Linked DNA regions of Rattus norvegicus. The protein of the gene in region 1 binds, or shares a complex with, the protein of each later gene. Links are inferred from orthologs where the notes say so. Each region holds a gene or a part of one and is shown in the gene's direction. Other genes may lie near its edges. The genes, in order: Csf3r and Csf3.

The links.
Region 2: the proteins of Csf3r (region 1) and Csf3 are in contact, whole or in part, in a crystal structure (PDB 2D9Q), measured with the Homo sapiens proteins. The link is inferred for Rattus norvegicus from reciprocal best matches to the Homo sapiens genes CSF3R and CSF3. Residues at the interface, in NP_000751.1 of Homo sapiens: Arg164, Arg190, Lys191, Leu193, Leu194, Leu195, Tyr196, Gln197, Asp220, Met222, His261, Ile262, Asn263, Arg311, Pro313, Leu314; in NP_000750.1 of Homo sapiens: Ser42, Leu45, Lys46, Glu49, Gln50, Arg52, Lys53, Leu141, Asp142, Asp145, Thr148, Thr149, Gln152.

What each region holds. Positions count from the first base shown.
Region 1 is NC_086023.1:143,592,999-143,596,805, forward strand, and holds part of Csf3r (granulocyte colony-stimulating factor receptor precursor), read left to right. Parts: intron 1-263; coding exon 264-343; intron 344-662; coding exon 663-876; intron 877-1,986; coding exon 1,987-2,169; intron 2,170-2,484; coding exon 2,485-2,586; intron 2,587-3,807. UniProt on the Homo sapiens protein: Receptor for granulocyte colony-stimulating factor (CSF3), essential for granulocytic maturation. Plays a crucial role in the proliferation, differentiation and survival of cells along the neutrophilic lineage.
Region 2 is NC_086028.1:84,156,208-84,160,487, forward strand, and holds Csf3 (granulocyte colony-stimulating factor precursor), read left to right. Parts: upstream 1-1,277; 5' UTR 1,278-1,298; coding exon 1,299-1,311; intron 1,312-1,396; coding exon 1,397-1,569; intron 1,570-1,882; coding exon 1,883-1,990; intron 1,991-2,424; coding exon 2,425-2,571; intron 2,572-2,818; coding exon 2,819-2,977; 3' UTR 2,978-3,653; downstream 3,654-4,280. UniProt on the Homo sapiens protein: Granulocyte/macrophage colony-stimulating factors are cytokines that act in hematopoiesis by controlling the production, differentiation, and function of 2 related white cell populations of the blood, the granulocytes and the monocytes-macrophages.

The sequences.
Region 1 (3,807 bases):
AATTGAACTTGGGAACCGCTAGATGGGCAGTCAGTGCTCTTAACCATTAAGCCATATCTCCAGCCCCAAGTAGTCATACTTTAAAGAAGAAAAATAAAGGGGGTTGGGGATTTAGCTCAGTGGTAGAGCACTTGCCTAGCAAGCGCAAGGCCCTGGGTTCGGTCCCCAGCTCAGAAAAAAAGAAAAGAAAAAAAAGAAGAAGAAGAAAAAAAAAAACCTCTCATCTCATCTATCCATCTATATCCTCCCCCATCCATCTACAGCCCCCACCATCAGACTGGACACATGGTGGCAGAAGAAGCATCTGGATCCTGAGACAGTGAGAATGCAGCTGTTCTGGAAGGTGATTCTCTGAAACCCCTTCCAACCCTCCTAAGAGAGCCCCAAAGTAGGGCTCAAAACTGCAGTGTGCCTGGGAGGCAGTTTGGAAGCACGTTACACATACTTCAGAAGCCTCGGGGAGAGACTGCAATACAGGGTTCTAGGGTCACCTGTGCTGACTGTCTTCTTCTTTGTCTCCTAGATCTTCCCACAGGGGAAGAGAGGGAGGTGGGGGATGTCTTATGGCCCAGTTCTTATGACTGGTCCCTGGCCCTCAGGTACTGACCAATTCACCATGAACTAGACAACTCCCTCACCATCTTCTTCCTCACCCACCACAGCCAACACCCCTGCAGAAAGACAGTGGACAGATCCAGGGCTACCTGCTCTCCTGGAGTTGCCCAGATGGGCAAGGGCGGATCATGCACCTCTGTAACACCACAGAGCTCAGCTGCACCTTCCACCTGCCCTCAGAGGCCCAGAACGTGACCCTTGTGGCCTACAACTCGGCGGGGACCTCCTCCCCTACTCTGGTGGTTTTCCTGGAGCACGAAGGTAAAGAGGAGCTGAGCAGCCGAGAGCAGCATGGGAACTCGAAGGCAGGACTGCCTATGCCCTTATCTGTCCAGTCAACCACTTGCTAACAGAGTGGCCGGGACAGGTGACTGCCCTTCCTGGCCCGTTGTCTCCAGAACCTGCAGGTGTATGCACTAACATTGTTAGCCAGAACTAGGTTAGTCTGGGAGAATATACATACCAATATATATACCTGCATAGACATGTTGTGTATATGGATAGATGGATGGATGGATGGACGGACAGACAGACAAACTATGATTCCTGCTTACAAGTTGTGTGTATATGAATATAGCAGCTGGCAGACAACCTCAAATGTCATTTTTGGGTGCTGTGTACTTTTTTTTTTGGAGACAGGCTCTCCCACTGGTCTGAAATTCACTGTCTCTACCTCCCCTGTGCTGGGTTATAAATGCCACACACTGTTTCATTTGCTGTTGTTTCCATGTGGAAACTGGGGACCGAATTCAGTGCTTGCCTCATAAACACTCTGCCAATTAATTTATCTCTCCCCAGCCCTGAGCCGTGTGTGCCTTTTTAAAAATTTGTTCATGTATTTTATGTAGATGAGCGCTCTGTCTTCTGGTACATCAGAAGGAGGAGTCAGATCTCATTACGGATGGTTGTGATCCACCATGTGGTGCTGGGATTTGAACTCAGGACCTCTGGCAGAGCAGCCAGCGCTCTTAACCACTGAACCATCTCTCCAGTCCCGGAGCTGTGTGGTCTTTAATAAGCCTTTCAGCCTCTCTGTATCTCCCTTTTTTACTCATTGATAAAATGAGACAACCGTGGAACCTCCCTGGTGTGACTGTTGAAGAACTCAGTGAATCACATATATTAAGCTAAATGGTGCCAGGCTCTGTGCTAGACTTGTTCTGGGCACCCTCCTTTAACACACACAAGCCTCTACAAAGTGGGGATTTTTTTGATTGTCACTTCCACATTACAGGTGAGGAGCTTGATGATCAGGTACTGACATACCCTGGATCACAGAGCTGTTGGCAAAGGCAGGATGTGGATCCAAGGGTCTAGTCCTGAGGCCTGCGTACCTTTCATCTTCTCTCCTATGTCTTTCTTTATCTCCAGGTCCAGCTGTGACCAGCCTGCATGCCATGGCCCAAGACCTTGGTAGCATCTGGGTAGACTGGGAAGCCCCCAGCCTTCTGCCTCAGGGCTATCTCATTGAGTGGGGCCCGGATTCCCACAAATACAGCAATAATTCCTGGAGGATAGAGCCCAATGGGAACACCACTGGAATTCTGTTAGAGGGTGAGACAGGCCTGGGACAAAGGGATGGGTTGAGAGATAGGAAAAAGAAACAGAGTGAGTGTTTGTCTAGAGGTAGCAAGGGACAGTTGGAACCTCCCTATAGAGGCAGTCTCCCCAGCCTTTTTTTCCTCCTCTAGCCCATACTCCATTCCTGTTCTAGCTCTCTGTTCCATGTTCCCTTTGTAGCCTCCATCAAATGAGCTAAAAGAGATCTCTGAGATTAGTCAAAATAAGGCCATGCAGAAATGAGAGTCTGAGGCTGGGTAGCAGAGGTTAGCCCCCAAACCTTAGTGCTGTCCCTTGTTCTCTCTGCAGACAATATACATCCCTTTCAACTCTACAGAATCACAGTGGCTCCCCTGTACCCAGGCACCGTGGGACCCCCTGTAAATGTCTACACCTACTCTGGAGAGAAAGGTTTGTCTACCCTCAGTATTACCAGAATCCTCTCCTCTCTCTCTATCTGGGCTCTAGCAACTGGGGAGTATGAGGATAAATGTATTCTTTTACTTCTGGCCTCTGAGGTGGGTGCTTTCCATCATGGCTTACACTGGGCTCCCCAAAGCTGGGCAGAAGATGGAGTAATAGACAGGGAGAGAATCAGGGATGAAGCGAGTTTCACAGATCAATCCATGGCCCCAACAGAAACCCAGGATCACAGCTGAAAGAATTGAACCAAGTACCTGACATGATTCAGAGGGTGAGTGACTGAAACCAGATACCAAGTCGTGTAATACCAGATGTGGCAGAAATCAGACAGCAAAGATTCTCAAGCAGATAGAACCGACTCAAACCCAGGCTAGGCTCTGCCTCTGGGAGCCATAAACTGAATTCACATGAAATCCTGATTGGAGTGGGGAGCTCTGGACAAAGTGGCATCTATCTCTGACCTTAGCAACTCTGATGAGGTAGCATTGTGATTTTGAGGACAGCCTGAGCCATGTGGTGAGACCACCCCCCTCTCAAACAAACAGAGTGCCCCCTAATTTTTTTAAGATTTATTTATTTTATTTATATGTGAGTACACTGTAGTTCTCTTCAAACACTTCAGAAGAGGGCATCAGATCTCATTACAGATAGTTGTGAGCCACCATGTGGTTGCTGGGAATTGAACTCAGGATCTCTGGAAGAGCAGTCAGTGCTCTTAACCACTGAGCCATCTCTCCAGCCCCAGAATGCCCTCTTAGAAGGGATCTTTATCTGTCTGTCTGTCTGTCTGTCTGTCTGTCTGTCTGTCTGTCTGTCTATCCGTCCATCCATCGCTACCTGTCTCTTCCAACCTCTACCCCCATATTTGCTTTTGGTTTGGGGTTTTGTGTTTGGTTTTTGTTGGTTTGGCCATTGTATGATGTGCGTGAATGGACGCACACGTGAATGGACGCACACATGCCGGAGTGCCTGGAGGTCAGGGACAGCTCTGTATGCTTAGTTCTCTCAGTCCATCTTTGACTGGTGTGCTGGTTTTCACCATCAATTTGACAGAACCTAGAGTCACCTGGTCTAAGGAACCTCAGCAATTGCCCATATCATATTGGCCTGTGATTACTTTTATGAGAGATCATCTTAATTGACTGACGTGGGAGGGCCCAGCCCACTATGGGAAGCGCCATCCCTACTTAGGTGTTGGATATGAGTATG
Region 2 (4,280 bases), on another chromosome or scaffold:
AGAGATGGCCCCGCCCCAACAGGTATGCCTCAACATCAAAAAATGTCTATATTCCTTGGCCCAAAAGGTGGGGGTGAAAAAGTTCAGAAAGTACCAGCCTGAGATGCCACCAGTCAGACAAGGGATCCCTTCCTCCTTTTTAGGCAGTAAAACCCTGTTGGGACTGAGACAGAGGCTGGGTTGTCCCTCCAACCCTACTACCCATGATTGGGCAAGGCATTTATTTCCCTCTCTGACCCAGTTCACAGGGTTGAAAACACCCAGGTCCGTTCCAGAGCTAACACTGGACAGATATCTAGGACTGGAGGTGCAGCTTCTCCGTTCTCACCCCAGCCTGCTTCTACTCAAGCCAGCTCACACCACTGCTGGGTGATGAGGAGAGCATCAGGACGCCACATGTGCCAGCCTCTGACACCAGATGCCCCCGACTGGCTCCGCTACAGCGAGGTAATCTGTGACGGGAAATAGAAAGGCAGGGTCAGGTGAGCAAGGAGCCCCAAAGGGTCTTGATTCATTCAAGACAGACATCCGGTTTCCTCTAGCCTCTCTGCCAGGATCTAGGGGCTTAAAAAAATGAGTCATAATGGGGGTATTGGGGAGTTCCCAGCTAATCAGCCTGGGACAGAGTGGCTTGAATGCTGGATCATTTTGTTTTTATCCAAATGGGCGGGCGCAGACAGCAAGACCCTAGGTGCTGTGAAGGGCTCCTGGCACTACAGGAGGCAGCGGCCTTATGGGTACAAAATGAGAACAGGTTCTCTCTCTCTCTCTCTCTCTCTCTCTCTCTCTCTCTCTCTCTCTCTCTCTGAATGTTTGTCCCAGGTAGGGGGCTACCCAAGCAAGTCTGTCAGAGGATAGAGAGAAGGAGCAGTCCTGACCTCGGGGCCAGCCTCTTCCCCAGGGTCTGAGTTCCCTGCTGAACCCAAAGCAGCTCAGCCTTGTTGGACAATTCAGATCAAACACCCTGCAGCAACTCAGGCCTGGGTGTGGCTGGAAGAAAGGAAGAGAGTTTGAGGGGGGGACAAGACGTCAAGGAAGGAACAGAGATTCCCCGATTTCATAAAAACTTTCGCAAACAGCTTTTCCCCAACCCCCTGCATTGTCCTGGGCGATAGACAAATTTGCATAAATCCTGGGAAGTTATTACTAAGCCTGAGTTGCCCCAGCCCCAGGTAATTTCCTCCCGGGGCCTTGATGGGTTTATGTATAAAGGCCCCCTGGAACTGGGCCCTGGCAGAGCCCAGAGCTGTAGCCCAGATCACCCAGAATTCATGGCTCAACTTTCTGCTCAAGGACGCATGAAGCTGATGGGTGAGTGCCCTGGTTACCTGCTCTGGGTGTGGAACGGAGGGAGGCTGGAGTAACAAGTGCCTCAGACCCGTCTGTTTGCTTCCAGCCCTACAGCTGCTGCTGTGGCACAGTGCACTATGGTCAGGACAAGAGGCCATTCCCCTGCTCACCGTCAGCTCTCTGCCACCATCCCTGCCTTTGCCCCGAAGCTTTCTGCTTAAGTCCTTGGAGCAAGTGAGGAAGATTCAGGCCAGGAACACTGAACTGCTGGAGCAGCTGGTGAGTGGGGTTGCTCTAGGTGTGGAGGGAAGAACTTGGGAGGGGGCAGGCTAGGGACACACAGCAGTGACAGTGTTTGCCTAGTGTGCACAAGAGCCTGGATCGCACCCTCAGAATACTGATGGAAACATAACATGGGGCACAAAAGGGACAGGGAAGAAAGAGACAGCAGTGGGACTTCTGGATGAGACTGTCCTTAGGGTCACTAGGAAGGTAGGGAACTGAGACGTCAGGTGGATGAAGAAATCGGAGGACCAGAGCTGGACGAACAGCCTGGCCCAGGTGAGAGCCCTCAGTGTCCTTCCATCTATAGTGTGCCACCTACAAGCTGTGTCATCCGGAGGAGCTGGTGCTGTTTGGCCACTCTCTGGGTATCCCCAAGGCTTCCCTGAGCAGCTGCTCCAGCCAGGCCTTGCAGCAGGTGAGTATTTGGAAAAGGAGGAACAGGAGGAGGAAGAAGAGAAGGAGGAAGAGGAGGAGGAAGAGGAGGAGGAGGAAGAGGAGGAGGACCAGGAGGAGGAAGAGGAGGAGGAAGAGAAGGAGGAGGAGGAGGGTCAGGAGGAGGACCAGGAGGACCAGGAGGAAGAGGAGGGCCAGGAGGAGGAAGAGGAGGAGGAGGATCAGGAGGAGGAGGAAGAGGAAGAGGAGGATCAGGAGGACCAGGAGGAAGAGGAGGAGGGCCAGGAGGAGGAGGAAGAGGAGGAGGAGGATCAGGAGGAGGAAGAAGAGGAAGAGGAGGATCAGGAGGACTAGGAGGAGGACCAGGAGGAAGAGAAGGGATCACATCCTAGTATTTGTCTCCTGAAGAGAGGGGGTATCCCAAGGCCTGCTCCCTAACCCTCCTATTGTCCCCAGACAAAGTGCCTGAGCCAACTGCACAGCGGGCTCTTCCTCTACCAAGGTCTCCTGCAGGCCCTAGCAGGCATTTCCTCTGAGCTGGCCCCCACCTTGGATATGCTTCACCTGGATGTCGACAACTTTGCCACCACCATCTGGCAGCAGGTGAGCACCATCTGGAGGGGGTCACAGCAGCGTGCCTGGGCACCCTGGAGCCTCTCTCTTATTTCTAGAGGCCTGGGTATGGGAAGACACCCCTCGCCCCCTGCCCCACTTCCTTCAGGCTGAGAGACAGACTGGGTTGGAGTCTTGATTGTGCTGTTCATGAGCCCCACAGGCTAGCTTACCACCTTCCCAGCACTCCCTTGCCTGCAGGAAGGACTGATCCCTGACGTCATCTCCTCCCCCACAGATGGAAAGCCTCGGGGTGGCCCCTACTGTGCAGCCCACCCAGAGCACCATGCCAATCTTCACTTCTGCCTTCCAGCGTCGGGCAGGAGGAGTCCTGGTCACTTCATACCTGCAGAGCTTCCTGGAGACAGCTCACCACGCTCTGCACCACTTGGCCTAGGCCTGCGCAGAAAGCACTTTCCAGAAAGTTTATTTATCTCTATTTAATATTTATGTGTATTTAAGCCCACTATTTAAAGACAAACAAGAGAAAATGGAGCTCTAAGCTTCTAGATCCTTCTCTCCACTTCTGAGTTTTGTTCTCCTGCTTGGAGCAGAGAGAGAAGGCTCTTGTGTCCTCCTGTGGAGGGCAGGGAAGGAGATAGGTAAATACCGAGTATTGATTCCTGCCGCTGCTCCAGGCACCCCATTCTGTGGTGGTACCCAAGAAATCACATTGAGCCCTGCTGTGCTGAGGCACCTGTCTCAGGGGCCCAGGCAGCATCTGGTCTCCCTTCTGGGGGACAAGACATCCCTGTTTAATATTTAAACAGCAGTGTTCCCAAACTGGGTTCTTACATCCCTTGCTCTGGTCAACCAGGTTGTAGGTTTTCCTGACCCCGTAGGAATGAAGTCCCTAAAGAAACAGTGGCGGCCAGGTTTGGCCCTGGAATTGACCGGATTCTTTTTTAGGGCCTTGCTGGCCTAGAACTGGGAGTGTGGGAGGGAAAAGGCACAAGGAATCCTGTGGGGAGTGCGTGGCATAGAGGAAGGCTGACCTGTCTACCCTCCCTCTCGACCCCACTTGTCACTGTAACCAAGCTTGCGGATAATAAAGTGTGTGTGTGCCCAGTAAATGTTTTCCTTCTTGGGTTTGGCTAATGCCTGGCCAGGGGCTGGTGGGTGGCAGGAGAGACCAGATAGAGAAGGTACAGGGAAGAGGAAGCATGTTCTGGTGACCAGTTCTCTCGGTGCCACTCTGTATAGTCTTGAACTATGTCGTTGGGACCTGACACTAAAAGTGCCCACAGTGTCCCTGCCTCAAAGAAGCCACAGCTTCTTGGGAAAGAAAAAAAAAGTTGATGGATCATAAATCAGTGGGAGAGAGGAGGCCTGGGGCTGGGGACAGGCTGAGCTGCAGCCAGGGCATACTGAACAAGTGCAGGGGCCTGGTCTCTTCACCACCTATGACCAGCAGCCCTCTGCAAAGCTCCCCGCACCCTCCCTTAGACTGACACCATGCCTATTACAGACAGAAAGCCTACTTCATGTGACCACTGGGTCAGAACTAGGGTTCTGGGTCGCATGGCTTTCCCTCAGCAAGCTCCATCTCCCCACAATCTCGTGCTTGGCTCACTCCTGAGCTGAAGAAGCCCCGCAGAGTAGGGAAGCACACTTCAGCTCAAGGTCAGCTGCAGGCTCCCCTGTGGTTCAGGCTAACCTATCACTGCCCTCCACAAAACTGTCTCCTCCCTGCCTCCCTC